3 linked regions of the Rhinolophus ferrumequinum genome follow. The protein of the gene in region 1 interacts with the protein of each later gene in a pairwise test. Links are inferred from orthologs where the notes say so. Each region holds a gene or a part of one and is shown in the gene's direction. Other genes may lie near its edges.

Region 1 (10,879 bases):
AAAGAGATAAAAGATGTGCATCACTAATGTGGAAATTGTAGGCACATTTAAAATATTATTTTTTGGAATACTATATATTCTTTAAGCTTAAAGTGACTGAACCATTTACAAATAAAGATACATTAGTATATAAAGATTAGACACTCCCAAGATTACCTGGCCAGGTAGTTAATGAAAGAGTCAGGATTATTAGAACCCAGATCTCTTCTCAATATTGTCATATATACGTACCTGATAAAAGTCTCATTGTTATGATCAAGGTGAACAGTACGCTGTAATGGTCTGAGGGTATGTTTTCTTTCTATTACTTTCCTCTGTTGCACTTTTAAATATTAAATTTCCCATTAATAGTTTAAAAACTAGCATTTTTATAAGTGATTACAGACCAGCAACAAAATGTTCTCAAGAAAACAACAAAAAAAAACTGTGTTGCTTTTTCAAAATGGCACTTGAAGTTAAAAGGATTTCAGAACTTGTTAGATAAAAATGCCCTGTGTTATTGCCTCCAAAGTCCTGTATAGAATTTTGAAGTCCAGCCTTAAATTATAAACAACTGAAAATTAAGAACTACGTGGGCTCAGCTCCCTTTGTCAGGCACGCAGCACAGAGCCACATAAAGATGGTGTACGATGGAAGCTTGTTTGATTGACTGACTGCCTCCAATCATTTTTCTTTCTTTAATATGATCTCCACGTCTCTTACATATTGTCCTTGTTTCATTTCTCTTCACCTTGAGCTTGGAGAGGAGAAATGTTTTTTCCACCTACATCCCGTATTCTGTGCTAGAGTCAGATAAACCTGCTCTCCTAAGCTAAAGACCTAGTTACAATGACCCCCACACCCCTATTTTGTGTGTCCTTAAGGGCACCCAGAGAAAAAGGGGGCAAATCAGTCAACTTCCCATACATCTCCACAGAAGTGCTGTGTTTCAAGCTGATCTCTGATAATTCAGTGGGTAGAGGTGTGAAAGGGATATGACTTTCCCTTCTTTATTCCCTTCCTTTATCGAGCTACAGAGGAAATCTCTCTAGGTATGAAAACTTCCATGGTTTAACAATTTTGTGCAATATTCTGCTGTTGTGTAAAGTTCTACCTATGGTTATTCTACTAAGTTTAAAATGTACATTATAAGTCATTGCAATGATGATATTTACAAGTTTTTTTCTTAAAGGTCGGCAGTTTGTATAGCAAAAACTGTAATAAAGTGAGGATAGAGAATGAATATTAGCAATGACAAATTCAATTGCAAGTCAATGAGCCACCATTCAACCTAACGTAGTAGAAACCCACTGGAATGTCTCATGGACTCCAATGACTGAGGAGCAGCTGGATTTCAGGAACAGAACCATAGTCTGTAGTTCTGCTGGGTTTCTCTTTCCGTCTCCTTCATTTGTCTTCCTAGCTACAGGTTGCTTTTCTATGTGCCTTCATCCTCTTTGGAAATATGGGGGCCACCGGCTCCCATGTCCTATCTTCTTGTTTCTTTCCCAGTTAGAAAAGTTCCAGGCGTGGGACTAATTGGCCAAGCTTTGGTCGATTTGACATAGCCAGGACTAGGACAATAAACTATGTGGGCATACTTCCCAACAAAGTATGTGTGGCTGGATGTAAGGCAAAGCAAGGGATCCTTGTAAAAACGTCAATCTCTCTGTTGATATTCAAACAACTAAAACAAATGAGTTAAATAACAGTTACTGAATCCCCACTGGATGTCAGATGCACCCTGGTTTCACGTATGTTTCCTTTTCAATCATTGAAACAACCTTGTTACTCACTGAAGACCCACGACTTTTCCAGTTCAAAATCCCTTCTCAGACTGGGAAACGTCCCCACAATTCGGTGAACTCACTTCTCTGCATAACATAGCTTTGAGGTGTCCGTGGAGCTGTCTGCTATTTCAATGTGTGCATGCCCTCTGGCCACATCTGAGATTCAGGTATGGTCCTCCAGCCAAGCTGAGTCCCTTCCCAGGATACTGGAATTAAAAAGGGGAAAGTCAGCATCTTTCTCTCTCTAATGACTGAGTTTTTAATGTGTAAATGCAGAACGTGTTGGCAGGTGTATTCTATCATATATTTGAAGTGCAAAAGAAGCTGGGATCCTGGAAGAAAGGAAAGAAGCGAGACTGGCAGGAAGAAGCAGAGACAAAGGATGGATCCTGGTTCCGATTAGTTTCCTGGACCTACATTCACTCCCATCTCTCCCTCAGGCATTCCGTAAGGCCTCCTACAGGGGGATGTTCTCGAAAATTCGCTGCCTCATAAGGGGGTCATGTGTCCCTTTATTGCCTCTCTAACCTGCTCTCCCACTTCCACTTTCAACTCAGTTCCCAGCCACACTGGACGGCCCCCACCATGGCAAGTCCAACCTGTTGAATTTCAGCTCTGTCCTAATTTCTTCTTCATGTCCAGCTCTCCCTGGCCCCACGCTGCCCTCATCGACTTGCAGGGCTCAATGTAAAACTATCTTCTTCAAGAGCATCTACTTTAACCCTACTTGAGCAGTCTGCATAAAATAGCTCTGTATTTCTTCATAAGCCACCCACCTTCTCTATTCTAGAGCTAACTTGGTCATGGTCGATTCTCCCTCAATGCCTATTCACTTGATTGAATTCTCTCTTACAGTGTAAGCTCCTTGAGGAGATGGACCATAGCTGGTCTGTTCACCACTCTATGTCTTGCACACAGCACAGTTTCTGGCACAGAGGAGGTAAGCGATAAGAATTGTTGAATAAAATTAACATTAAGCTTTTTTTTTTTAAATGCTCGTGCATTATTCCTAGCACCATTGAATTGCTCCTGGTTCCACACACTTCCTTTTTCTCTTCTCCCTGTCTTTGCTGGAGTCAGTCCCTCTGCTTGTAACTTGAATTTTTCTTCCTCCTACTTCAGTAACTAACTTCTACCATCCATCTCTTTCAGGAGGTCTTTCTGACCCACTGACTGATCACCCTTCTTCTTTACTCTCAAAGAACATGGGTTTTAGTTCAAGGTCAGTATCTACTGCACTGCATGATACAGAGGAGACAACTCACCCAGTTTCCTTACTTCGCAGTTTCCTTCTAAAATGAAGGGTTGTACTGAATTATTGTTCTTTAATTTCTTTTTAGCAGCCAAAGTCTCTTATTTTATCAATAAAATTCTTTTATGAAGTCCAGTGGATACATTAATAGAAGTTTTGTCATAGAAAAATTTATGGTCTTTACTTCGGTGAGCTGAAAAGCATCTTGGAATCCTGACACCTACCTGACTCTACACTGCCTATAAGCCACTCTTGTGGACACCATGCAATTATCAGGGTCACCTCCCTAAGAAGGTAGAGCACTGGAAGGGGTCTCGGTCATATTATCATATGTATGTCCTCTCCCTAATACAAGAGGAGGTCATTGGCTTCTTGGTTATCTGGGAGTCTAAATGAAAGCCTTCCCTACTCTAACAATGGATGCTCGGGGAAGGGTATTGAGTTCATGAAGCCAGTCCCAAAAAAACAGTCTGTGAACCAGCTTGGTTATACATGCGTTATACATGGTTATACATGTGTTAATTCATCTTTAATTTTACCCCTTTTTGCATTCAACTTCCTTTCCAATTTAAAAAAAGAAAAAAGACTTGGCTGTGCAGTAAAGTGCAGTGGTCAAAACAAATGTTATGTAGCCCAACAGACACATTCCTTTTTTCTATCATAAAGGACTATTTTAGTGATTGTTGTTTCATATTAAATTCTGAATACTTTAATATTGATATTTGATTTTTAAGATAGACACATATCATATTGTTGTTTTATCCCAAACAGACCCATTTTTCCCACTAATTCTATCTATGAGGCAGAGGTTGTCAGTAGAAGCTTCTAAACTAACAATTAGCAATTTAGGGACAGAAGAAGTTTGCAACCACAAACTTTTTTTTAAAAGAAAGACATTTTCAGGCTCAGAAAATAATCTATTGGTTGCATGTTAAATTTTCTTTTCGGGAAATGGTCCTTTTGAATTCTCTGGAGCCAAAAGGAAAGAAAAATTATTTGAGCCGTGAGTTGGGTGCTGAGTAAAACTTCTGTTCAAAGATGTATCTTAAAACTTGAAATACTAATTTCTCTTACTTTGTTATATGTCTTATTTCAGCCCACGAAACACTAAATGAAGTTAACAGATTATTTAGAAATGCCAAGACAGGTAATAATTTGCATGTTTTCTTTTGTATATAAAAAATCAATATTATATGTTATAAACCCTGTGGAAGGGTGACACAGAAAAATCCATGTTCAAATCAGTTCTTGTACAGATAAATGACCTTTGATGTAAACCAAACAGTGATTAGCCAACATATATTCTGATCTATTTTTCTAAAGTAGAAATTACAAAAATAGATACGCTAGGATAATTCCCACTTTAAAATTATATTTATAGATGAGATAAGCTTTGGGAAAGATTTGAAAGACATTTGTTTTTCTTTTTGCAGTGAATGCTTTCTAAATTTTCTTCGAAAGTAAATTCATTAGACTTTTTTATCAAGCATGATCTCCTTCAAGACTTGTATGTTGTTGATGGCATTTAAATTTTGCTAAGAGCAAGAAATAGTTGAACTACTAAAAGCAACAACAAATATTGTGCATTTATGAAGTATTTTCATATCTGCTTGATCATCGTAACAACTTGAGTGGGCGGATTTCAGAGCATATATCAGTATCCTTGTTTTACAGATAAAGAAAATTGTGTTTCCCAAAAAAGTAGATAATTACCATCATCCCAGGCTCCAACAGGATGGCTGGAACTCTGTTGATTTTTCTTCATGGTCACAATCCATCTTTGTTTAAGGAGCCAGAGCATGGCAGCCATCCAAGTAGGAACGCATCTTTGTTCAGGCTAAGGAGGGAACTGCTTGTAAATAAGGAGGTAACCTCTCAGACAAGCACAGGCAGCCCTCCTCCAGGACTTTCCTAAGCCACCCTCCAAACTGGAGACTCAGTGCTGCAGCTGACCACTCTGAGAATGATGCCTAGCTCAGGCCGAGCACCTGTCAGTTACAGTGGTGTCACCGGGAAGGGGGCAAGGGTATTTCCCCTGTTGAGCTTGGCATCCTTTCTGGGTAGAGATGGACATTAGTGACATGTTAATGTGACCTAGAGTAACAAGGATATGAGAATAGCTTACATGAATAACCCAAACTTGAAACTAAGGAGGTGACAAGGAAGTCAATATCCTCAGTTTTATTTTAGCAACATTTTGTTGTTGTTCCACAATTAACCCAGGTTATACCCTCCTGAATTTTCATTTTAAGAAATAAAATATTACATTCACAGCTTTCTCCCATTCCATTTCCATCTCTCTGTCTCCCAGGGGGACTAATATTCTGAAGTTGATGAAGTATATTTTCCCATCCATATATTTTATACTTTTATAATACATAGGATTTGTTATACTGCTTTGTGTGCTAAGAGTTGCACAGATAGATGGTGGTATACCGTGTTTCCTGGAAAATAAGACCTACCTGGACAATCAGCTCTAATGCGTCTTTTGAAGCAAAAATTAATATAAGACCCGGTATTTATATTGTATTGTATTGTATTATATTATATTATATTATATTATACCATACCCGGTTTTATATAAGGCCCGAAGGCCCGGTCTTATAGTAAAATAAGACCGGGCCTTATATTAATTTTTGTTCCAACAGACGCATTATCGCTGATTGTCTGGCTAGGTCTTTTTTTCCGGGAAACACGGTAAGGAACGCCTGCCTGGTAGGGCGCTTCCTAACTCCGCGTTAAAGGTAATGGTGTATACTGAGCATTCTCTCTTTTGCATCCCGCTCTCGGAACTGCTCATTCTCTCTGAAACCTCTGAGCTGCCTTTCGCTTTGGTCTCAGCTCCTGGGAATACCTAAGGAGGTGAACGCCTCACCTTACTACTCCCTGGGGCCGGAGGCCTGGGCATGCGCACCGGCCACAGCGGATTGGAAGCGATCGCTGGTCTCTCCTCCTTCTCCGGGCTCCGGGACCGGTCGGGCTGGTTCCGACATCTGGGGAATTAACGTGTCCCGCCCATCCCTAGCCTCGAGCCGCGCAGGCTCCGCACCTCCACCCTGGTTCCTTCCCGGATTCCAGCTCCTAGGACGGAAAGCCGCTACAAAGGGCTTGAATGAAACGTGTGTGGGATTAGTGAGTCGTAAACCACCAGGGGATCCCGTCTCCCCACAAACCAGCATCTCTCGGAGGAGGCAGAGGAGGGGGAGGAGGCAAGGAGCCGAGTGCTTGGTGTCGCCGGAGCGCACAGCAGCTGGAGTGGCGGGGAGAGGCCAGGCCACCACCCCCTCCCCGGCCATGCACCGCCTCGCCCGCGGCGGTTCCAGGCACCACACTCTCCGCCCGGGCAGCGCCCGCTGTCGCAACAACAAGCTCCTGCGGCCGCCGGCACTGTCCACTGAGGAGCACCGCCCGCCCTCCCCACCCCCACCACCGATTCCTTTCTTGGCAGGGACGCGCAGCCCTGCAGCCCGCGCTGCTCCTGGTCAACTTTGAACAGGAGGAGAAGCAACTTTGGCAGTGGCCGCGGGTTTCGAACCCCGCTTCTCCTGGGCAGCAGTTGCCTCGTTAGCCGCTGGGGTTAGGGGAGCAAGAGTTTCCTGGGCGCATCTGCGCTGCGTCTGGCTGTTTGCAACCTGTTTTCAGCGAGCGGGGAGCGGGCTTGCAGCTACTAGTCCTCTGAAGGAGGGGAACTTATTTTTCTTTGCCTTAGCGACCTCGGCTCTCTGCTGGAGAAAGCAGTATCGAAAGGATGTAAACAGGCTGAGCAACCGTTACCAAGAAGGCCATCACCCCAGGGCAGGGAGGAGCGCGGGGCTTGGTCGCAACATTAATCATCAGTCAGGTGTTGGTTGCAACTTTTCAAGGTCAGCCACCGGGAGCAGCGAGTCCCTTTCTGAACCTTGGGGATACGCAGCGCTCAGGTTGGATTTGGCTGAGAAATGCACAGGGCACCGAACGAGGAAGGATTGTAGAGCAGGAGGGTTGTGACCCCAAGACCCATCCCCCAACCTCCCCGTAATCTCCCGTCCGCAGCTGCCGGGGCGGGGGTGACTATGTGACATGTGTCTAACTCTCAGCAGCAACTTTGGCAGCAGGTGTTGATCTTAAGCAGGAGCCGCGGCTGCCGGGCGCCCTCACCGAGCCATGCGGACCCCAGGCGCGCCTCTTGCCCGAACCTCGCGGCTGCTGCTTCTGTTCCTGCTCAAGGTTTCTGCCTCTCCTGCCCTCGGGTCCGCCCCTGCGCCCAGGAACGAAACTTGTCTGGGGGATAGCTGTTCACCTACATTGAACCAGCGTCGCAGCAGGGACACTTGGGGACCAGGGAATTCTGCAGGATACCTTCTACTAACCCGTGCGCCCAGGAAAGACGAGCAGGAGGCAGCAGTGCGCGTGGCGCCCTCGTGGGACCTACCGGCCCCCCGCGGAGCTGACCCAGGTGCGAGCAGAGGGGCGGGGGCGTCACCAGCCGAGCCCTCGGGTCCCCCAGCCAGGCCTCCAGGCGCCTGGAGGTGGAAAGGTACCCGGGGTCAGGAACCCCTTGGAACTTTGGGGAGAGGGAACCCCACGGCTCTTCAACTCATCCTTCAGACCAAAGAAGAGGAGGAGGAGGAGAAGGGTCCAAGAGGCAGTGGCATTTCCGGGCGCAGTCAGGAGCCCAGCGTGAGGACAGAACCCGGAGCCAGCGACCTTTATTACTGGCCAAGGAGAGCCGGGAAACTCCAGGCTTCCCACCACGACCTCCCACCCAAGACGGTCAATGGACCGTCTGGGCACGAAAGGCGGATGATTGCACCCCCCGGCAGGGCACTGGCCCAGAATGGGTCCTCGGGTGAAGGGATCCCCGAACGCGGGGGTCCCCGCCGGGGAAACAGCACAAACCGGCGCTTGCGACTGAAGAACCCCTTCTACCCGCTGACCCAGGAGTCCTACGGAGCCTACGCGGTCATGTGTTTGTCGGTGGTGATCTTTGGGACCGGCATCATTGGCAACCTGGCGGTGATGTGCATCGTGTGCCACAACTACTACATGCGGAGCATCTCCAACTCCCTGTTGGCCAACCTGGCCTTCTGGGACTTCCTCATCATCTTCTTCTGCCTCCCACTCGTCATCTTTCACGAGCTGACCAAGAAGTGGCTGCTGGAGGACTTCTCCTGCAAGATCGTGCCCTACATCGAGGTAATGCCTTCCAGGAAGTCTCAAGCTACTGGCTTTACACACCTCTGGGACTTACAGCCTCAGAACTTCTGCTCCATGCACCTAGCTGGCTGCTGAGCCCCTTCACTTGTTCTCTGAGTCCCTCCTTCATTTTTCTTGCCAGTTATTCATGCATCTATCTGTCTATCTATCTATCTATCTATCTATCTATCTATCTATCTATCTATCTATCTATCTATCTATCTATCTATCTGGGCATCTTTGTTCAGTCACCTTGAAACACATTTCCCAGACTGTGAAATAATTATCTCATAATGTATAGAATTGTTTAGATTTCAAGTTTATCTCTCTTAGTATAGTGTCATATATAGTTTTGATTTGGTACCTAGCAGAGATTGTAATAAATGGCCAGTTACTAAATGGCCAGTTCATGGTTATCATTATTAGAACTCAGCAAGGAAAAAACCTGTATCATTTATCTATAAGACTAGATTTACAGTGCTTCAACATGGTTATCCCTCACCCCCAAGAAGGTTATTCTATTGTTTCTTAAACGCAAAATTAGAATAGTATTTTATTTAACAAAGGAAATCTCCCTTTCTTTGTCAGTTGGTCTCATGATATATTAATAACCTCCCAAATTAGTTTAAGTGTTTTTGGCTCTCTGCCATGGCTGTCCCATCTCAATTCTTATGTCATTTCTTGTTTCTTTGTTGTTCTCAATTTCTTAACAGTTTTATTTATTTTGTGAGAATGAGCTTAAGTAAAAATAACACTTTATCCATCATGGCACAGACTTTATTTAACATTCTCAAAGTATATGATATATGTCATTTGTTAGCGTGTAAAGGATTGGCTCTTTTAAGGGATTGACTCTAAGACTAGAAATTTCCTAAAGAAGAGGGGGCATCTCAGAGATTCTAAACTTGGGAAACAAAACTCTTTCTGAGTACAGTTTTATTGTTTCATGCTATAGCAGGTGTCCTGCCGCATTATCACGGTCGTTGGAATTTGCTCTTTAAATGGCCTCTCTCTAAACACCAGCTCTTGGAAGGAGCCCAAGTGCTTTGTTGCCAGTTGTGGTTTTAGCCAGCTGGCCCTTGATTTCCCCCATTCAGACTGCCTGTTTCATTTATGGAAGCAGAAGAAGGGAAACTGTAAATATTTCAGAGCCTCTGATCCCGTCTGGCACCAGGGCGAGTGACACTATGTTCAACTTTGTTCCAGGGCCTAAAGCTAGGGGATAAGTAAACAGAAAACAGTACCTACTCAGAAGGACCAAGGCAAGAGACAGTGAATAAGACCCTGTGTTATCCTGGCAGGGATCAGATGCAGAATGATTCCATGCGTGCTAAATCAGCTGTTGCAGCTTTACCAGGATCCAGGATTTCTCTTGTTCTCAAGCCCCAAGTAGTTCTGAAACATCTAATTTATTTGGTAAACAGTTCATTTTTGAATTACAGAGGAGGTAGTTGAATTTGTTGGAGAATATGTGTCTACCAGTTACCTTTTCAAGGTCAATTTCAATTTCAAATTTCTCTGATGATTTGAATAATGCAGGAGAAATTGGCATATGCAAGGAAGAGACCAAAGGAAGCTACAAAGTGAACAGGAGAGTTACCCAGTAAGAGAGGAGTGTGTTGGCGTGCCTTAAATGTACCGGATATGTAGAAACCTTTATCATTAGAGGAAAAAACAATAAAGTATACAGACAAAGGAAACTGAGGAAAGAAAAAAAACATTACCGAAGTTCTTCAAAACAACTTTAAAAGAAAAGAATCCCATCCAAATTCAGAAAAGAATATACAAACTTTGCTTAGTTTAATGAGACCTATGAGTTTTGAGTGATGGTATTTGTTACGCATGGGCTTTAATTTTCTTTCTAAGTCTCAGTATTTTAAAATATTGTATGCTGTAATTTCATTTGTGTTTCATCTTCCAATTTAATTATCTGCTCCTTAAAAATATTTTGTTTTTATCTCTTCTCTTGTTATTAGCACAATTGTATTTATGTTTTGTTCTCTGTATTTTATTCCCTTCTTTATACACCTAATTTTTAGTTATTGTTACCAGGCTTTATTGTCTAGAGAAGCAAAGGTTGGGGGGAAAAGGTTCACTCATTTTTTTTTCTTGAAAAATTAGACTGTAATATACATTTTAAAATGTATACTATTTACCATTCAAGTCAGGAATGAAAATCTTAATCTTTAATCTAAAATGTAGACTGTGTTTCTACATTCCTGCCTAGTCCTAGTCTTCTGAAATAATTTTATAATGTTTTAGCTTGCTTCGTGAAAATAATTACTGGGGAGTAGTATCAGCTCCACGATTCCTGATTATGAGAACAAGAAATACAGTCCAAATCTCAAAATAAAGCATTTCTGCCTCCAGGAGGCACTGTTATTTCCACAGAAGTCACAGAGATTTAGTGCCTATTCCATGTCAGGTATGTAAGGAATGGAGAAAACAGGATTGGGCAGAAGGGGTTGAACTGTGATGCACATGCCACAAAGACACAAAGACATAGGGAGCCCTAAGGTTGGGGTGACCCTGCAGGGATAACCTGAGTGAACGCAAGAGGGCCCAGACTTTATGTCCCCTAACGGAGCAGACACTGGATGCAAGAGACTCCCAGGAAGGGGGCATAACCTTGAGCTGGGTGGGTCTTTTTGTCAAGGGCACTTCCTAGAGAGGGATGCAGGCA
Region 2 (11,379 bases), on another chromosome or scaffold:
TAAGGAAATATTATTCATTAAAGTTAGATAAATACATGACTATTTTATTATTTTCTATACTTATTTGTATATTTGCATTTTTCAACATGTAGAAAAACAAGATTAAAATAAAAAATGAGATTTAATGAGAACATTATGAGATTTAAAAGAGCTAATGAGGTAGCTGGATATAAAATAAACATAAATGAACTTATAGGGAAAATATTAATCTAAACATAACATGATAAGTATATTACTACAAGTGAACACACTGTTAAAACGTGAGAATTTTTTTCTAAGTGATTTATATGATCATTGCAATTACAAAGGAATATTTCAGTTTTGCATATTATTAAAAGGTCATTTGGAAGATTAAACTGGCAAAAAGTTAAAATTTAAAATCAACATTCTGTATATGAATTGACAGGAGAGATTATACTCACCAGTTTCTAAACATATTACCAAGTTATAATAATTAAAATTGTGTTATACAGGTTAAAAATTCCTCTCAACTATTTCTGAGTATTACGTATAATGATACAAAAGGGCAACAAATCAGTGGGGAATAGAACATTGCTCTATATATATCTCCGGAAAAATTGAATAGCTATTTGGAAAATAGTTTTTTGAGATCTTCGGATAATACTCTATCCCAAGTGTTCTGAATCTCTAGGAAACACTAATTAGTTCAACTTTAAAACAATAAGAACAATTAAATCAGAATCTTGAAAGGTGAAACCCAGGAATCAGTATTTTTTAAGCTCTCCAGGTGATTTCAATTTGCAACCTGAGAACCACAGCTTTGGATGTTTGCAATCTACTTCTAATATGTGTCATGAATGTGTTTCAGAGGTGCTGAGATATTGATTCCCTCAATGTGCAGCAGGTGGGCGGGTGGATGGCAGGCAGGGCCTGCGGTGCTCAGAAGCCCCAGGCCTAGTACCTCAGGCCGCAGGAGAGAAAAGAATGGCTGTCAAGCACTGCAGGTGTCCGTATAAATGAAACCCTCATTCCAGTCAGAATCTTAAGATCTCTGACCCGGTAATTCTACTTCAGAAATTGTAATTCAAGGAGATACGTCAAAATACAGAAGAACAAATGTATATAAAAATATTCATTTCAACATTATGTATAATAGCAAAAAACTGAAAGCATCCTGGGTGAATGACTAAGTAAATTATGGTCTATTCAGAGGACAGAATTTTATGACGTCTTTTAAATGCTTATGAGGAGTTTGCAATGACATGTAAAATATTAGCATGTTAGAAAGAATCCATAAAATTTCATGTAAAGTATAATTATGCATAACGCACAAACTGAATATGCAAGCTGTATAAACGTGTACCTAAGTACATAGTACTCTTCATAAAGTACTTATATACTTTGCTTATATATTCTATAAAAACATATACAATTTAAGGACTATGAGACATTTTAAAGAACATTAGATACGTATATAATGGAATTTACAACATAATTTGGGGCAAAGAGAGCAGAAAATGAAGAAAGAAAACCGAAGTTGCCGGAGGCCTGGTCTGTGTTGTCTCTGAGCTTTTACCACCGCCCCTACCTCTTCCTCTCGGTCTCCCTCGTCTCTTATACAATAGTATTTCGGCAAACACAATTCTCTCGGGGAAGCTTTCCCAGCCCGAGCCTCGTTCAGGTCGTTGGCCTCTGCTCTCATTGTGCCACACACTCCCTCTGACACCGTATGAGACGGCAGCCACCTTGCTCCTGTCCTACAATGAGCTGAGAGCCCCACAGATAAAACACACACAGTCTACACTCCTTCACACAGGCATTGTGAATTCTATTCCTGGATCAAATCGGACCGCCATGAGCTACATACGTGTACCACATCCACTTAGCCTCATGTAAAATCCATGATAGTTGGTTGAGGCAGCCAGACGTTAGGTGGATGGCGTCGAGTGACCAGTTTGGATGATATGTAAAAACGTAGACAAAAGGTGGTGAGGGCTCCAGTCAGGCTATTGTCACTTGGTCCCTTCATCGTCAGTACTTCCACTGTCTTGTGTATTAATAGATGTGTATTTATTTGTACTGTAATTATTTGACTTGTCTTATCTCTATCTTCACTAGCAATATTTAGCACTAGTGGAGGACACTTCTAACTATCCCCCAATTTCCCTTCTTCCCTTTATTACAGTAATGAAATGCCTCAGGTTTTAGCTGGACACAGAGCTAACAGTCAGAGACTACATTTCCCAGCCTCTCCGCAACTGGAGGTGGCCATAAGACGAAGTTTTGGCAATGAATGTGAGCGGCAGTGACGAGTACCTTCTGGGACCTCCCTTCAAAGGAAGCTGCTTGGCCTCCATGACTTCCTGCCTCTTCTTGCAGGTTGCTCCTTACCTATTTTTTCCTTTTTTCCTGCATGAAGTAGGTGTTGGAGATTGTGCCCTTTTGGAACTACATAATTTCTTAGGCCTTTTCCTGATAGAGCATGTATAGAGGTCTGGAGTTGCTGCAAGCATCAATATCTCCTAGGCTTTTGCAAAAAGGGGAAAATATGGGCCTATGAATAAATTCTGTCCAGTGGGATGTAAATGAAAGTGGGGTGCAGTGTCTGGGTAATGCCCATAAAAGAAGTTCTCTGCTTTCTCTTTCCTAATTCCTGACAGTAGGGATTTGCCCCAGTGGTGGAAGCCCACTGGGATCCAGGGCACCATCCTATAGGATATGAAGCAAGAACATACATGCGTCCTATGTCCCTGGACCTACCTCATGGGGAAGCAGGGCCAAACCTCCCTAGATTGTGTACAGATTGGGACTTTTATGTGGGCAAAGCAACTTCCATCTTAGTTATTGTTATTTGGTATCTGTTATAGTATCTTAATATGTAATTTATAAATATTGACCATTACCACTGTGTGTTGAATGACTATATGATTGTAAGTATAAAAGTTTCAATATAAGAAAACTAATAATTATTATTTTTCCCATTCAGCTGAGCTTTGAGCACAAAACATCTATGGTCTATTGAAAAAGAAAAGAGTAATATAAAGATTAAATTGAAGTCAGCTTCTGTATCATAACCTTGGGTCCATATCCTAACTTGTTTATTCATAAAGTAGATTAATTAGCCTAGCACGCATTTGCTGTCTGTGGAGACGAGGCCAGTACAACATTGAGCTACCGGTCTCTAGATATGGGCTGTAGCACACCACAAACAAGGCCTTTCAAGGGAGAATGAATGGTGAAATCATCAAATTCTGTATCTCATATCACTCTTTTCAGGCAAACATTATAACAATATGAATTTGGATGTTATTCTCTGACTGCAGAACTTTTGTCCTTGCTTGTTTTCATATAGAATGCAACAACAATTTCAAGGAAGTAAAGGAACTACTTGAAGAGCAACAGTTGACATTGGGATTTAAAACACTAGCCATTTACATTTATTATTATTTTAGAAATAATTTTGCATTGCCGTACATAAATTATGCCTCTAAAGAAGGATTTCTGCTTGCACAGCTCATATGATTGAATCTGTTTATGATCAAGTTTGTGTACTTATATTACTAGAGCTCTAGCAAAGAAACAACAGGAGTCTCCACATAACACCTTAAGGTATAGTTCTCTATGTCTTTTGTGGAAGAGCACTGGAATGCTGACTTATTTAACAGGCAAGTGTTTGGAAGAGGAAACTGAAGGCAAGACCCAACACTAGAAAAACGGTTTGGGAGTTGGCTTTTGGAACAAGGGGTTGTAATTAAGAAAAGGGAGAAATCAGCATATTGTTTTCTGAATCAAAATAAACCTCAAAAACGACAGGCATTTTGACTTATAATGCCAAAAGGTCTAAACTGCTGCAGACAGAAGCGGTGAAATATAAATACTGGACAGGAAAAGAAAAGGGTTTTATTTCCTATACCATTGAAGTTAGTTTGTATAAAAGGTATTGTCTATCTTTCTTTTATCAAGATTTTCTTGTTGTTGGTAGTTTTTCCTGGGAGTAGTAAGGACAGGGGCTTTGTTTTGCTGATGCCAAATCCCCAGAACTGTGTTTAACTAGTTCTTAGCTTAAAAAGAAAAATGAGTTGTTGATTGAATGAATGAATGGATGAATAATGTTTGCATCTAAAAATTATTATTTCCACTAAATGAAGTGAAAGAATTATCCATCCTATTTTGAAGATTTCAACAGAGAATATTACACTACATAGATATTACACTATGAAATTTTCCCTAAAAAATATGAAAACAAGATAATTTATCTCAAGTAAGTTGTTTATAAAGAAGGCTGCTTCATGTTAAGCAGATTTTTTTTAATCTTGTAAGCATAGTTATTACATTTGGCAATACTGAAATATTTGATTTTCCAGAACTATGACTTTAGTGTAAAGCTATGTTTAAAAACATGATTATGAACAGAGGTTTATAAAAAGAAAGAATCTAACTAATATTTTTTACGTCTGTGAAAAACATATAACATTGAAAAGTCACTAAGATTTTAATCATAAATATTATGCAGAAGAAAACAAATAATTAGCTTGAACGGTTATGGTATTCTGTATTGCTGATAGTCATCTTTGAAATACATGCAAAATGACTGCAGGTACAACAAGCAGGAACTTTAGTCTATTTCCGATAATTTTAACTACTGTGAAGCAACTCACACACATTCCATAACCAGAACATCACTTTGTGTAGCAACCTGGAAATCTGGCCTAGGGGTCCTGAGGTAATCTGTTCCATTCATGTATTCTAAAGATGTGGTTTAGGAATAAGATATTAGGTTTGCAACATTTATGTAAAACAAATAATGTGACACTGGAAAGCAATAGTATTCATTTAACATAATGAGTTGCTATGCAATATGTTAGAGCCTCCCAGAGTGTAGATTATACAAATTTGAAAGCTGCATTTATTATTTATATCTCTTTCCCAGATAGGTGCTTACTCAGTAGTAAAACCAGGTTTAGCATACCAAATTTAAAGCTGTTCAGCAGATCCAAGGACTTTTTTTTTAACCTACCACACATGTAGCTAAACCATTTGTGTACATTTTAAACCTTTTTTTCCTTAGTAGTACTGAGAATATTTTAACTACCACAAATAATAGAAATGAAATATGCATTGTATTAATAGCCAGAGATACTGAACTAAAGCTTGCATTTAAAAAAAAAATATTATTTAAAAGGTCTGTCTGGAAAAACACTTCATATTAAGTTGCCTTGCAGTATTCCAACAGGCTGACACCATTTTGTCAGAAAGAATTGTCTTAGGGTAAATGTTAGGATATCCTGATATCTCCTCAGTTGAATTGATGAGGTTTTTTACTATAGATTATCTAACGAGTTTATGTTCCCAGCTGTACGTAAGCACATGTCAAATTTTGCGAAAGAGTTTAAGATTGCTAATGACTCACCTTCCATCAGGCCCTTTGCTGAGTAGGGCTAGTTTAGGAATCAGTAAGTAAAGTAAAGGGGGTCTTTTTGCATCATAAATAGCTTAAGAGTAATTTGGGGTGGTCTAGAAACCATGAGTTATTAGGAAAGTGCTTATAACGGGCATATCACTTGCTCCGAACCCTTTCTAACAACCTAGCCTGGACCTCCACACAATGTTGGGCACTGTCTGCCACGGGCCAAGTAATGGCGCTTTTTGGCAAAGCCCACCCAGGGCACGGGCTCAGAATCCATGCTAGGGCCGGCCAACCTCTATAACCTGGTGTCACCTGATTCGGAGCGAGGGCATTCAATTCAGGAAGATCACTTACGACCGAGTTTTTCATCATGGCTTTGACTGTGAAGCCCTCAGAAAGCAGGGAGTGAGGCTGGTGCACCGGGAGCGACTGTTGTGCCAGCAGCTTGGTCCTCTTCGGCATCTTGTCTGGGCATTTGTTTAAGCTCAGGGTCTCTTTTTCTGCCACCATCTTCCTAGAAAATGTCTGGTTCTCATAAAAACGTGTGGTAAAAGAATCAGTGGGTTTTACGGATGTGAGAAGGAGGTCGGGAAAAAATTGTAAAAAATTACGTTAATGGTAAAAATTCAACCCCTCGTAGTGCCCAGGTTGATCCAGGTGTTTGGCAGCTCCTAGGTGAAGGGAGTTGAAGGGAGGGGAGGGGCGGGAAGAGGGCTGGACCTTGGCTGGGGCTACAACCAGCTTCCAAAGCTAAATTTCCTGGTTACTAAGCGACGCGTCAACACTGAGGCCGAATGGCCGCACCCCGCCGTGACGAAAGTTTTCTGGGCCTTAAACCGGAAGAGCGGCGGGCGGCTGGCCGCCGGCGGCGAGCCGAGAGAGGAAAAGCTGTGTTAAAACTACAACTCCCAGAAGGCTCGGGGCTGCGCGCCGTCTGCGCGTGCGTTCCAGCTGCCAGACTCGGGGAGGGGAGTCCTGGATATTTTAACCTCCGAGAGAGAGCCGCGGGTGGGAGGCGCGCGCGGGCGACAGTATGCGCGTAGGCCCTTTCCAGCCCAGCAGTCTCCATCTGCCCAGTGACCATGATCGGTACGTGGTGCATGTCAGGTACAGCCTCTCTGCGCCGCCATGCGCCCAGCTGTGGTGCCACTCCAGGCCTCGGACAACGGGGATCCCTGGGTGCCCACCGGTGCCAACTGTCAGTGGCAGGGTGGCAGTGTCTGTGCTGTTCTCAGCCAGCGCCGCCAGCTTCCCAATGCCCGCCGTCGTCCAGCAGAATAAGTGTGTCTGTCGTTCTAAGCCCCGACTCCGCCCCTGGTTTGACAGGCTTCCTAGTGAAGACAACTTTGTGAGGGAACCTGGTGTGCGCCTGCGCGCCTCCCTAAGTGAAGGCAGGGTCGCGCGATCCCACAGCGAGCGCACTGCCCCCCAGACCCGTGGGGGTCCGTGGGAAGGCCCCGGGGAAGTACTTCCCCCCCCGTCGCTTTCCGTCCCTCGGGGCACCTTGGCGGCTGTCTTCCAGTTTAGGACAGACAGACGTTGTAGTCTGTACCCACTGTCTGTGGGACTCTAAGGGAAACCCTAGCGGAGCGTTAGACTCCAATGGAAAGCACCTGGTGATGATGGTTGGGCTCATCAGAGATGCCTTCAGAAGGATTTAAACTTCTGTTCCCTCGAATTTTTTCTTTTAAATCTCTCATCGGAGGTCTGAGATGAAAGAATAATTAAGAGTAAATAATAACAACAAGTAAACCTTTTTGCATGATGAATTAACGATTCATTATGCAAAATTATTTTTTTCTCGAACACAAAATGACCTAGGTGAAAGCTTTGGAAGTGGCTATTGGAATTGTTTATAAACACTACAATGTACAACATTAGCAAAATTCCTCTATTTCAGGATTGCTAAGCCAATGCTATTTTAAGGGTTATCTCTGAAAATTAGTGGGAATGTTTAGTGTGGTTAGAAAAGTTGCTTCTCAGTGCCCACCATGGTTTATTATTTCCAATAAATTTGGAAATTTATTGTGACAGAGACTTGCTCTAGAATATGTATCGGTTTGATGAGCTTATTTGGAGATCATGCCTGATGCGTACCATTTAACACTTTTGACTACAACAAGTGCTTTCGAAGTCAGATGTCGTCTATCCAGAAAGATGAGAGGTGGATTTTTTTAAATGTGTGATTTCTATGCACTGATAAGCGCTTCTTAAGTCTTTTATTTATTAAATTAGTGTTAACATGTAAAACATTTTACCTACTACTGGGTGAATCACACCAGTTAACGACACTGCCTTTGCAGCGATGATAGAAACCAAAGGATGTTGTCAGGTTTTCTTAATTTTCTAGCGTGGCATGATTTTTTCAAAGTTGCCAAGTTAAGAAAAATGTATACATTTTAATGAATCTTTTGAGTCTTTTTAGGTGACAGTTACACAAGATCCACTTGTAAGCACAAATTTGAATCAAAACCAAGTAGAGGAAATTTTTCAAAATCCTTGCTGTCAGTATTCTACAGAAAAAAAAGTATACCTTATTTTGAAGACAGTTGTGCAAATGTTATTTTAATTCAACTTAACTAGTGCGTGGAAAATTTTAAAAGAAATAAATTTATGGTAAAGCTATATAAAGACAGGGACCTAAGATCTAAAAATCATCACTAAATTCTAAATTGTTATCTAATAAATGGCTCTATAACTATTCGGATGAAATATGCTTAGGTAGTTTTGTTTAGTTTTTACTCGGGATTTCAGAACACAAGTGGGAAGAGTGATCTTTGGATGTGATGATTAGACAGCTCTCAATAACTGGCATTGACATGAAGACTATAAGGTGGATTTTTAAGAATGTTCTTTCTCATACTCCAGCTGTTCTTCATCACGCGGTGCAAGTAAGTGTGTTTTACAGCATAAATAATTAAACCCATGCCCCAGCCTACAAAAAGTACCTTACCCATAACAATCATGAGTACAGTGTGCAATGAATTATTTTATATAACTTGTTGTATTGCCTAAATCTGTCGGTGGGCACATTTTAATAAAAATCTTAATTGTCCGTTTTGGGCCTGGTTATGTTGAATAGTGGTAAAGGTAAGTGAAAATGGAAGCAATTGAAGGGAAGTCTTACAGTGATGGGTTTTCTGTTTCCATGACTAAACTTCGGAGCCCGGAAAGGCATTACAGCTTATACCCAGTGATCAGCTGGAGATCAAATTATATGTAACTATATATTGAGAATTGTTTTTTTTTCCTATTTAAAGACCTGTGCTACTCAGAACTTGCCCCTTTCATGCCTGTGCTCTTTTTAATTGCTATACCTTCTTTAATGCAGATAGTACTCTTCCACTTTATTTAAATCTTGGGTCACTTTTGAGGAAATGAGTTACTTGGTAAAATAGGAGTAAGGTATTGCCTCTTTACCAATAAAATTACCTTCCTTTTCCTTTTTAAAACCCAGATTTCCTTCTTGGCACTGCGACTGTTTCAAAAGCACTTACATTTCTCACTTGGATAATGATTGATATGTTAAATGCCCTGACCCAGACAGCTACAGAAACATAATTTAATTGAAGTCAGTGAAAAATTATGACTTTGTGAGAAGTATGGAGAAGGATTTCAAGATAATATAAAGCAGAATGGAAAAACCTTAAGAAAATTCAACTTAGGAAATATAACTTTTGGCATCTCTGTTAAAAATATATTTCAACCTTTTTAAAAATTAGCAATTTTTGTGTTTAAAAATTAAATTTTAATGGTGATATTTGTGGTATATTCTAAATCTCCTATAGAACTGGACTGGTATTTGAGTAGTATCAGATATTGAAGTGCATCGATATATGTGCAACATTGTTGCTAGTATTGAATTCAACCTCTTACTCTTTAAGAAGATTTTTGATTCATTAAAACAAATAATAATTAGAACATAGTCTCTTCTGTACCTTGTTTAACTTAACATCTCTTAGAAACTTACATATCTGCGTATGCAAGTTTACCCCATGGTAATTCCTGCCCAGTCTTTTATTTTATGGATGTACATAAAGCATGCAAATACTCTCTAATAAATGAGCATTCAGTCAATTTATAGACAATTGCTACCATCAGGAATATTTGTGTTCGCATTTTATTTGCTTTAGTATGTATTTATGTAAAGTAAGAACTTTATATTACAATTTCTGGGTGGGTTTTGTAGACAGAGGGTTTGTAGATTTTGGATTTTGCAAGGTATTTCCAAATTGTTCTAAAGTAAGTCGCCCTGTTTTACACTCCTGTCTGTCACAACAGGGTAGCTAAGAGCTGCCTTGCCCCTCTGGCTGAAAAATTACAGAAAGATATTCTCCCCAGAGCACCTCATGGATTTCCACTCTCTTCCTAGTCCCTCTCCCCACAGGTTTAGTGCCTTTGAGCAATGCACAAGTTACACAACTGTCCTGGATGGTTCTGACCTTCCTGACAGTGTGTACAAGAGAGCCCATTTCCCCAGTGTCCTATAAAAATATTTTTATTTTTGCCTTCATAGATGAAAAACAGTCTATTTTAACTCTTAGAATGAATTTAAGAAGAAAAAGAAAACCCTCTCATTTCTTATTTTGTGATGCTTTATTTTCAAGAAAGCAGATCCATTAATTGAGCACCTATTATGTTTCCAGTACTGCTCCAGGTGTCAGGGATTCATGAGTGAAGAAAACAGGAACCAATGCCCTGCCAACATGAATGTGCAGCCTAACTTTACTATTTGCCTACAAACCTACATATTTGTTTTAAAGCTTGTTGAGGTGAATTTTAAAGTCTCAGAATTTATATTTCTGGTTGAATATACTGTGTACTGCTACTTGTCCTGACATTTCAATAATTTTAGATGAAGAATGACCCATTCTTCATTATAAACTCCCAGAGGAGGCTCTAAAGCTTTTGTTTATGATGATGTAGAATTATGTCACAAAAGAAGTTCTACTAAATATTTGCATAGAATATTTTGCATAATTATATACAGTCCTTTGGGTCCAGAGGCTCTCAAATGATGACCTATGCCTTTTTCAATTTTGGAACTATATCTAAGGATTTTTTTGAAGTCTGCAGTTTTTTTTTTTTTGAAAGCTCAAAAGCTTCATTGCTTGAAATGTGACAATGAAAGTACTTTGTATTAAGATAACGCAAATCCATTTCTACCTCCAAAGCTTCTCTGAAAAATGCAAAAAAAAAAAAAAACAACCCCAAAACTCCTTACTTTGAAATGCTTCATATTCATGGAAGCAGTTTCAATGCAGAATACTTTATTCTGCTAGCTTTCAGTTCTTTGATCAATGGAAATTGTTTCTTACCTGCTGTTTCTTCAGCCTTTAATTGTGGCCCGGTGCTTATTCAGTGTTTCTGTTTTAATTTGCATTTAATGAGCTCATTTGAAATGCTTCTTTTGTAGTGATCTGAATGGTTTCTCTCTTAAGTCTTGTAATATTAAAGAAAGAGATTCATGTGACAGCTGGCTGATTTATGGTGCAGCCCCCCTTCCTGTTTATTTACTTCATCCTGTAGGAGAAACTCTTGGTTAAAAAGAATTGCAGCAATCCACCCCTTCCCCCAGCGCTGTGTCCTAATTACCTAGGGCTTCCACCAGGTTATTCCAATATCAGTTTTCACTAAATAGAAAACTGTCTCCCTTAAATTAGTATGTATTTCAATTCACAAACATGATTTCGGTGTCATTTCTTTCTCAGGCATTGGGTCAGGTGGTGCTATGAGGAGGGCTCCACCTGGGTGGTGCGTGTGTATATATTTTCTGTGGGGAAGAGACACAGAGAAGTATAAAATACAATATCTGTAATTTCAAAAGTCTTTCACCAAGTCATACGGCCCCCAATGAGTTTGTGATATAGTTGGACTGATAAGACATATTTAAGGTAAGACCTTGACCATCTTCCCAGCAGAAGCAGAGTAATTAGAAAGATATGTGTGCATATGAATACACATACACCATCACACCATGGTTTTTCAGGTCTCTTTTCTGTTGCTTACCT
Region 3 (10,054 bases), on another chromosome or scaffold:
GGAAGAAGAAATAACTTGTTCAGGGTTTCATAGCTATCAGACGAAGCAGGACTTCAAACCCAGCAGTTGGCTCCAGCGTTGCTCCAGAGCTCCTCACGGGATCGCGCAGGGCCTGGCTCTTCGTCTAAAGCCACGCACTAGCTTTGCTTCTCCCACTCCCTGGCTGGCTTCCCTTGGGAGCCCTTCCTTCATCAGTCACTTGCACCCAAATCCTCATCTTGGTGGCAGCTGCCAGGAAATCCAAATTAAAACATCTCCCAAAAATCTACCCCAAAGGTAACCACTATTAGTAGTTTGACACATACAAAGGATTTTTTTTTCACCCCGGTTGGATTAATTTATTTATTCATTTGAAGGAACGCCCATCGAGAAACAAATGTAATGCCCTGCAATCGAAGCTGTGCTAGAACATCCAGAAAGATGATAGTGATGGTGGTGGTGATGATGATGATAAGAATGATAAACATGGTTCTTGGAAACACTGCGCTAAGTGCCTTAAATGCACTATTTCATTTAACCATCAGAAGCATCCCCAGACGGTACCACTATTCAGGGAACAGTTCCACGGTAATGACAGCCACCGACAGACACATCACCCCAAATCTACTTATCTCCTGGTCACTGTGGTATTTTAACTTCTTTTTTGATGTCCAACCAAAACCTCAAGTTCGATATGACCATATCTGAATTCATCACCCCTTCCTGTCTCCTACAGACACTCAGGCCACCGCTGTCTTCTTTCCTATTTGGCCATGGTCCCACTCCTTTGACTTATCCCCCAACCCCCAGCCAATCCAAGCTATGCTGAGTTTTTCCACTGTCATGTCTCTTGATTCTCTCCCTTCCTTTCTAAACCCAGTTTTTCACACATTCTCTCTACTCCCTCAACAATCGTCCAAGGAATTTTAGCTTCATTTTTCATAGGAACACTCTGAAGCCCAAAGGGTTTAAGCGTATTGCCTGAAGCACTCAGCTGGTTAAGGACAGGACCAGGATTGGAACCCAGACCCATCCAGCTCCAAAGCCCATGCTTTTTCTATCACAGCAATGTGTCTCATTAACACAAGGCTGGGATTGAGATATCTTTAGATATAATAGAAATTCTTTTAAATCCTTCAGTAACACTACATTAAAAATAACAGTGTACTAATTAGGAGTTGTCCCTTTTACAATTTCCTTTCAGTCTTTTAAAATAGATGGAGAAGTCCCAGTTAGTGCTAGAATACCATTACTATCTCCCCAGGACTCACTAATCTTCCTTTTCAATAAAAAGAGAGAGGGACTCAGGTTCAGAACTTTGGCAGGCAACAAAATCTAGCTAGAATTTATTAACATTGTTCCGTGCTCATGGTTACCTGCTATTTATGGCAGATGACACTAGTCTCCCACATGTGGTAATGGAAGGAAAACAAAATTTTCTTTAAAAATAAATGTATTTGAGTTTTAGAAGTAAATCAACATCAAGAAAAATATTTAGTAAATGACAGTACACCTGCTACTCAGAATAGCAGGAATCACGATGGTGAAATAGGGAGAAACAATAACTGAGTTGTTTTGTAGGATATTGACAGTTTTTGCTTGCCAACTCCTCAGTAGCTCTTCAGAGCAGGAACTCATCTCCTCAATGGCCCTCAGCATGCTTCCTTCCCATCATAGGCTAGTGCTGTTTAGAATAGGAAGTCTCTTAGATGTTACTGAGCCCAAACTCCTACTCCCATTTCATGGATGAAGATTGAAGCTCAAAGAAAGAAGGTGACTTCTTTAAGGTTATATTCTGGGGGTGCCAAAAACAAGAATACAAGTGGACACTTTGGTCAATGTTGCTCAAGCAGTAGTTTGCTGAATCAGAATTATCTGGACGCTGACGGTAACCACTTTGAGCACCTCTTATAATTGCAGAAGTCAAACGGGACTTGTATTCATTCTTTGTTATTGGTATCTACTGAGTATTACAATTTTAATACAATTTTCCTCTCTTGAAATGTGTATACATTTTTTGGCATCCTCTGTATAACAGTATAGTTGTTCTGGGACCAGAACCTAGTTCTACCAACCTCCATCCATGCTCTCTCCTCTGCGCCAAAGTGCTTCCATCACAAAGAGACATTCATCAATATACACGCTTTATTGTGTATGTTTTATGTGTCCCAAATCTGAAGGAGACTCCATCCAAGCAATCCCACTCAGATTCAGCAAGAGAATTAAGCCCTATGCCCTAAAGCATCCACTACATTGTATGTAATCACTTCATCTCTATGAAGTTATAGGGTAATAGCTATGTACCATCCTCGGGAGAACTGGGAAGAATAGTCACTCAAACAATTATTCTGTGTGGTTTAATTCCCTTGTAAAACTCTAACTGAGAAAAGCTACTAGAGTTTAGTCCTTTTGAATAATTGAATCTCCTCAGACAAGAGTCTTTCATATGACCAACTGAAGTCTCTCCTGCGTTAATTTAATGTCATCTCCCTTTGTTCAGTCCCCCTGAGACGCGGAAAAATTTATTAGCATGTCTCTCATAAAACGCTAGCATAGCAGGAAATTAAATTCATCTGGTATAATCAGCTGTTCTGAAAGCTTTGCTGGTTGCTCTGCTTACTCCATGGTTGCCAAGGCAACTGCAAATTGATTTGTTTGATAACTCGTTCTAGGATCATTCCAGGTATTGATGTTAAGGTTGGACATCGACAAACCCATGGATGGCGAAGGAGACTCCAGACCCAAGGCAACAAGGAATATTTAACCTGAGGAGGAGAGCTCAGAAGAATCTCAGGAACTCGCCCCAAAGTTAAAGAGAGAGGAGACTTGTTTGAAATGGCCTCAAGGGGGCAGACTTAAGATCCACGGGTAGACGCTATGAGAAGATAAAGTTCAGTTCAATATCTGAAGAGTTGGAAAAATATACCCTGACAAAAGAGCTGGTGAGCTTGCTTTCACTAGAGGTGGCTCTCTAAGAGTTTTGGCGGGTGCTATTGTATAAGGAGCTGACTAGACGTGAGATGCTTCATTCAAATACCACTAACATCCCATCGAGCTCTATAAGTCAATGTTAATGCCGATTTTCATTATTGTTCTTCTTCCTAAGGAACCAAGCTTTGTGCCCTTTTTCATTCTTTTTCGGAGCAATTCAAATTTAAAATAAATTACTCATTACCTATGTTCAAAGGGTCCTTTTACAATATGATCTGAAAAGACAAATATGTACTTGATATATACATTTTGATTCAAAAGAAGATAATGATGGTAACAGTTATCCCTCTTCTAAGGCAGCATGCTAAATGCTTTACATGCATTTAATCTCATTTAATATAAACTTAACATGATGATACCGTACAGAGATAAATATTAAAGACCGATATTTAAGACCATCATTTAGAAAGAAATCTACAAATGTTTCTCTGCACAGAGGATCATGAAGATGGAATGAATGTTGTCTAAACCAAGACCAGGGTAAGATTTTCTAAGCCGTCCTGCTATTGGTGTGAGGGCATTCCCTGGTACCACAGAGCCTCACTCCTGTTCAAACATTCATTTGGTAAATCAAAGTGTGTGTGTGTGTGTGTGTGTGTGTGTGTGTGTGTGTGTGTGTGTGTGTTTTCCTGTTTGGCAGGCAGGAAATGACAAATCAATGTCTTAAGGGATTGACAAAATATGTAATTAGACACTATCAATCACCATTTTAAAAAGCCTGCTTTTTCTTCCATCAGATAAAGGTATATTTAGTCTACTAAGAACTTTCCAGTTTAACTGAAGCATTAACTCTCTAAGGCCACAAGCCCAATAAACAGTGCCAGCCAAACTCCTCTGCTGAGAAATCAAAGTAGAGCACTGAGCAGTGAAAACATGTGACGGCAGGAGCAGACCTGACTCCTGGGCTTCCCTGCCACCTTCCCCTGGACACTTCTTATTTCTACATTTCAGTTTCCTCATTTGCAAACTGGAGCGGGGGGAATAAACTAGATGATCTATTGAAACTCTCTCCCATTCTAACTCTCTCTAATCCTATAATTCTAAGAGGAGGTCTGAAGAAGACTCTTGGCATGAAGATAACATGTTGAAATTCCTACCAGCTTGGTAACACAGGACAGGGAGAAAGAGGGACAGAGACAGAGAAATTGTCCATTTTGCAAGGCTGGTGGGCAAAGGTCTGGACCATCCTTGTTGACATAAGCCGTCTTCCCCTCTTGATTTAGTGTTCCTGGGTTTTTAAAAAGGTGTTTCCCAAAATATTCCATGTTAAATTTTTAAGTGACTTATGTGTATGTCTAAATGATCAATTAGTGTTTGTCATAAAAGGACTTTCTTTGTTCTTTTTTTGTTATGGGAAGGTTAAACAATATGCTTATTTATTCCATAGCTTCACAAACAGGAAGGAGGTTTTAAATGACTTAATTCTACAATTCAGGGTAGATGTATATTTAAAGAAACGTTGTTGCATAACAGACACTGCCGCTTCCTAAAATGCATCATACCAGAGCCAATTTTGGAACACACAAATATGAGGTGGGTATATTTTGAAAACTATGTGAACATAATAGATCCTTAATATTTGTGGGTTTTATGGGAAGTATTTGTTTTTTAAGGCATCTGTCTTTGCAAGCCATTTCTGCAAGTGAAGGAAGTTAAAGGGGGCATATAGGTTAACTTTTGCTTCTGAGCTTTGCTTTTGGAGTAAAAGTCCAAGTTACTTTTGTCCTAAAGTATTTTATTGTTCTATTAGAGCAGACTAACAACATATTCTAAACTACTGAGTAATTTATATAAATTTCATTTATAACCCACACTTGACATTTATATGTGCAAAAACACTTTCACATTTATTATTATATCGTTTGATTCTCACTCAGCTCAAGGGAAGTGACTTTATTACCCATTTAGAGATGGAGGAAATTAGGCTCCATCTTTTTGATTTGCCTAAGGAAAGAGAGCTGTAAAGTTCTAAGGCAGGAGGATCTGAAGCTAGGGTATTCCAATTCCAGTTGTAGTCCTTTTTCCCTATACTCCATCCTTTTCTGCGAATGATGACACAGTACATTGAAAGGATTAAAAAATGGGTTTTTGACTCAGGCAGACCTGGATTCACCTCCTGCTTCTGACACTGCCTCACCCTGTGCCCTTGGGCAAGCTAAATTCCTCTTTGAGCCTCATTTGTGAATTAAGCTAAAAATAGTACCCCCCCCCACCATGGGACTGTGGGAAGGATTAAATGAAATAATGCATGAAAAGCACATGGCAGAATGTTCCATAAACGTTAGCCATTGTTATGTTATTATGTAATCTACAAAGTATGTTGGTTACCCTGCATGAAATACTTTCAGTTTTTCAAAGACACTACTCATACATGTGAAATCAAACCCTGGAAGTTAATTTCTTTTTAACAGTAAAGTCACATGCCAGATACAAAGGATAGTATTTCATAGACAAAAACCCTAGTTTGAAGGCCTGGTTTGACATTTTTTTTTTTTTTTTAAGGAACAATTATCTTTTGCTTTCCGTGGCTTCAAAAGTCCTTCATGTTAACATTCCTAATAAACTGTCATATGAAATTGCCATTTTTTAAAGTCAAGAGTCACAGAATAGCAGCAATTTCAAGTGGCTCAATCCAACAGATCTACAAACTTCCTAGAAGAGGAAAGAAATAATTTTTCCAGTTGTAATGGGATTACTGAAGGCCTTGGGGTAAAAAGAAAATTAATTCCATTTTCAACACATTTTCATTTCAACTAATAATAAGGGAGTGATGCCACACTCCCCAAAATTAAAAATTAAAGCATACAACTTTCTCTTTCTATCCAAAACACATACAAGACAGCCCAGCTCCAAATGAAACCCAAAGAGTGAAATTGTGTCTTGATGCCTGTACATTTCCAAGGAGAGCACCAAAAGTACTTTGACAGCGAGCGTGCTGAGGAAATCGGCAGCTGTTGAAGTCACCTCCTGTGGTCTTGCCAAATGTTTGAAAGGGAATATGCTTGTGTTCGCGCGCGCGCGCTCGCGGGGGCGGGGGGTGAGTGTCGTGGAGGTCGGGGTGCATGGGTGTAGGGTTTGGGTACCTGGATGGGGCGCTCTGCTTGCCTCCAAGTGAGCGTTTGTGTGTTGTTTACTTCTTTCTCTGCGTGTGCCCATACCTTTGTGCTCTGGGTGCTTCTGTTTGTTTCTGGCCCTATCTCTGTGTTGTTCAGGGACTGCGCCTGTAGGTTTTGGTGCGCGCGCGCGTGTGATTGTGGGTGCGCTGGACGGGTGTGTCTCAGTGTCGGTATAAGCCTGAGCTTGTCTGTTGGGGTGCATGTGTGCCTGTCCATGCGTGTCTCCGTGGGCACTCGTCTCTGTTTCCGATTATGGGGAAGTGCCCATGTACTGCTCTCCGTCCTGAGACCTCAGGCCACACAGGCGCCCAAGGCGGACAGGTAGCAGCCACAGAAGAGCCCAAAGTTCCTGGCTTGGCTGGTAAGCACGCCAGCCCCAGCTCCAGCCCTCCTGGCCCAGCCAGATGAGCGGGAGGGGAGGTGGCCCGCCCCGGGAGCAGAGGGCTCCGCCCGGGCCAGCCCCAGGAGGGGCGGGAGAAGGGAGGAGAGGGGCGGGAAGGGGAGGGAGCCTCGCCCCTTTGGGGCTGCCCGTGTGTCATTGGCGGAAAGTTCCCGCACGTCACCGGGAAGGCAGTTCCTCTAAAGTCCTGTGCACATAACGGGCAGCGCGCACTCTGAGGCGGCTTCTCCAGATAGCAGGCTGGCATTGACGGGCACCTGAAGCCCAGAGCACCCCACAAGCTGAGTGCAGGACGCGCCCCTACCACACCCACTCCCAGGCCGCTGGATGAGGCTTCCAGGCGTCCCCTCGCTGCCCGCAGCGCCCTGCCGAAGGTCCGCCCTCTGAGGCGCGGCCAGTGAGCCAACAGCCAGTGCGCTCACCTGCCAGCCTGCGCGCCATGGGACAACCCGGGAACCGCACCGTCTTCTTGCTGGCACCCAACGGAAGCCATGCGCCGGACCAAGACGGCACGCAGGAGCGGAATGATGCATGGGTGGTGGGCATGGGCATGGTCATGTCCCTCATCGTCTTGGCCATCGTGTTTGGAAACGTGCTGGTCATTACAGCCATTGCCAAGTTCGAGCGTCTGCAGACGGTCACCAACTACTTCATCACCTCGCTGGCCTGTGCGGACCTGGTCATGGGCCTGGCGGTGGTGCCTTTTGGGGCCAGCCATATCCTCATGAAAATGTGGACTTTTGGCAATTTCTGGTGTGAGTTTTGGACTTCCATTGACGTGTTGTGCGTCACGGCCAGCATTGAGACCCTGTGCGTGATTGCAGTGGATCGCTACTTTGCCATCACGACACCCTTCAAATACCAGAGCTTGCTGACCAAGAACAAGGCCCGGGTGGTCATTTTGATGGTGTGGGTTGTGTCAGGTCTTACCTCCTTCTTACCCATCCAGATGCACTGGTACCGGGCCACGCACCAAGAAGCCATGGAGTGCTATGCCAAGGAGACCTGCTGTGACTTCTTCACGAACCAAGCTTATGCCATTGCCTCTTCCATCGTGTCCTTCTACCTGCCCTTGGTTGTCATGGTCTTTGTCTACTCCAGGGTCTTCCGGGTGGCCAAAAGACAACTCCAGAAGATCGACAAATCTGAGGGCCGCTTCCATGCCCAAAACCTCAGCCAAGTGGAGCAGGATGGGAGGAGCGGGCACGTACCTCGCAGGTCCTCCAAGTTCTACTTGAAGGAACACAAAGCCCTGAAGACTTTGGGCATCATTATGGGCACTTTCACGCTGTGCTGGCTGCCCTTCTTTATCGTCAACATCGTGCATGTGATCCAGGATAACCTCATCCCCAAGGAAGTTTACATCCTCCTAAACTGGGTGGGCTATGTCAACTCGGCTTTCAATCCCCTCATCTACTGCCGGAGCCCGGATTTCAGGATTGCCTTCCAGGAGCTTCTGTGCCTGCGCAGGTCTTCTTTGAAGGCCTATGGGAATGGCTGCTCCAACAGCCAGGACAGATCTGACTACACAGGGGAGCCGAGTGGATATCACCTGGGACAGGAGAAAGACCGCAAACTGCTGTGTGAGGATGCCCCAGGCAAGGCAGACTTTGTGAACCGTCCAGGTACTGTGCCTAATGATAGCATTGATTCCCAAGGGAGGAACTGTAGTACAAATGACTCACTGCTCTAATGCAGTTTTTCTACTTTTTAAGGACCCCCCCCCAAAACACTACACAGACTATTTAATTATTGGAGTGTAATGCATTTAGAATAAAGTTGTATAGAGATGTGCAGGAGGAGGACATCCTTCTGCCTTTTTTTGTTTTTTTTTGTTTTGTTTTGTTTTGTTTTGTTTTTTCTAAGCTGTAAAAAAGAGAAAACGTATTTGAGTGATTGTTTCTTGTATAGTTTGGTTCCTCTTTGCATGGAACTTGCAAGTTGATGTCTGAAGGGCTTCGGTCCCAGAGGACCTGGGGCTGCTGTGTTTTGATGACTTTTCTGTGTATCTACCTCATTGGTCAAGTATTAGGGGTAATATATTGCTGCTGGTAATTTGTATCTGAAGGACAGCTTCCTTCCTGCACCCTTGGACTGGAGGACCCTGAGTCTCTCGTGGACCTTGCAGCTGTGAACATGGACTCTCCCCGCTCCTCTTATTTGCTGAAACAGGGTGTTGTAGGCAGGGATTTCAGGGGTAGCTTCAGTTGTTTTCCTGAGCAAAGTCTAAAGTTTACAGTAAATAAATTGTTTGACCATGACTTCATTGCACCTGTTTCTCCAAAATCCCTTGACTGGAGTGTGGTTGCTTCCCCCCCTGGAGACGGCAGGTAACTATTTGTAATAACTGCGCAGTGACCTAATGTGGAATGGCACAGGAATGACATGCTCTGATTGCTTAACCCTTTCATTTGCCTTTGAATCTGCAGCTACCCACCTGTATCTCTCCTAACGCTAGGGCCCCTAAGTCAGTTCTGCCGGCTCCCAGCCTAGCTCATCTCGCTGGTCCTATGGTGATTATTCTGTGTTGTTACATCAGAAACACTGACTCATAGAAATGGAGTTACAAGCATCTGTTGTGTCCCTCCATGCACCCCTACCACCCACCTTCCAATTCTGCTTGCTTATTAGCTGCTTATACTTATGTCTCTGCCATGTCTTCTAGTGGAGATCTTTGTGCTGCATCAGGGCTTGGCATCTGAGGGCTAAGGAAGGCGTCCGGGTGAAAAAGCTACTACACATCACCCTGTAATTCCAAGGGAAACTGAAAGGGCATTGGTCAGAGGGAGAAAAGCTGGAAAACACTTATCTGATGAACACCTCAGACCTAGACACAGGGTTTTAGCTCTCTTCCTCTTTCTTTACTTCTGTCCCCCCCCCCACCCCGCCTTTGACTCCCATCACTTCAGTATACACCAAGATTTCTCAACCTCAGCATTATTATTTGGACCAGATAATTCTCTGTGGGGGGGGGCTGCTCTGTGCATTGTCAGATGTTCAACAGCATCCCTGGATTCTACCTATGAGATGCCGGTAGCACCCCCTGAGTTGTGACAACCAAAAATGTCTCCAGACATTGCCAAATACCCCTTGAGGGGTGAAATCGCCCCTGATTGAGAACCACAGGTACAATTTAAAAATCTAAGCAGGTTTTTAGATTCTGTGTAAGGTAAGCACTTTATTTTGCCATCTCAGACAGGGATTTTTCATGGTTCACTCAGTCGGTTAGTGACAGAGCCGGGACCCGTGTTCTTTCCACTCCATCCTGCTACCTTCTGACCTTAACCTTCCAGCTGCCAGATACTGACCGGGAGATGTGAATCGTTTGGGAGGGTTTATCAATGGAGGCCAGGCCTGGGCGCCATTACTGCCTGTTTGTGGAGAGACGATATTGCTGGTAAGAAGCCCATGAGGGAAAATCACAAAAGTAAACACATTTCTTCTCCCACCCCCTTTCTATTTTTGCCTGTGCGCCTGAGCCAGAGCTTGGCCCAGGTCTGACCGAGTGGATCGTCCTCCTTGGCAACGCCAGCCTGGAGATCAGCCTGCAGGCTTCATTGCCATTACT

What was found.
Region 2: the proteins of GPR37 (region 1) and PRKN interact in a two-hybrid assay, tested with the Homo sapiens proteins (2 studies listed by BioGRID). The link is inferred for Rhinolophus ferrumequinum from reciprocal best matches to the Homo sapiens genes GPR37 and PRKN.
Region 3: the proteins of GPR37 (region 1) and ADRB2 interact in a protein complementation assay, tested with the Homo sapiens proteins (2 studies listed by BioGRID and IntAct, with this or other methods). The link is inferred for Rhinolophus ferrumequinum from reciprocal best matches to the Homo sapiens genes GPR37 and ADRB2.

What each region holds. Positions count from the first base shown.
Region 1 is NC_046309.1:20,181,648-20,192,526, forward strand, and holds the start of GPR37 (prosaposin receptor GPR37), read left to right. Parts: upstream 1-6,495; 5' UTR 6,496-7,164; coding exon 7,165-8,196; intron 8,197-10,879.
Region 2 is NC_046286.1:103,100,040-103,111,418, reverse strand, and holds the start of PRKN (E3 ubiquitin-protein ligase parkin), read left to right. Parts: upstream 1-6,304; 5' UTR 6,305-6,450; coding exon 6,451-6,457; intron 6,458-11,379. Other genes in the region: PACRG (parkin coregulated gene protein), read right to left, coding at 5,723-5,878. UniProt on the Homo sapiens protein: Functions within a multiprotein E3 ubiquitin ligase complex, catalyzing the covalent attachment of ubiquitin moieties onto substrate proteins. Substrates include SYT11 and VDAC1.
Region 3 is NC_046307.1:21,399,738-21,409,791, forward strand, and holds ADRB2 (beta-2 adrenergic receptor), read left to right. Parts: upstream 1-6,672; 5' UTR 6,673-6,925; coding exon 6,926-8,179; 3' UTR 8,180-8,314; downstream 8,315-10,054. UniProt on the Homo sapiens protein: Beta-adrenergic receptors mediate the catecholamine-induced activation of adenylate cyclase through the action of G proteins. The beta-2-adrenergic receptor binds epinephrine with an approximately 30-fold greater affinity than it does norepinephrine.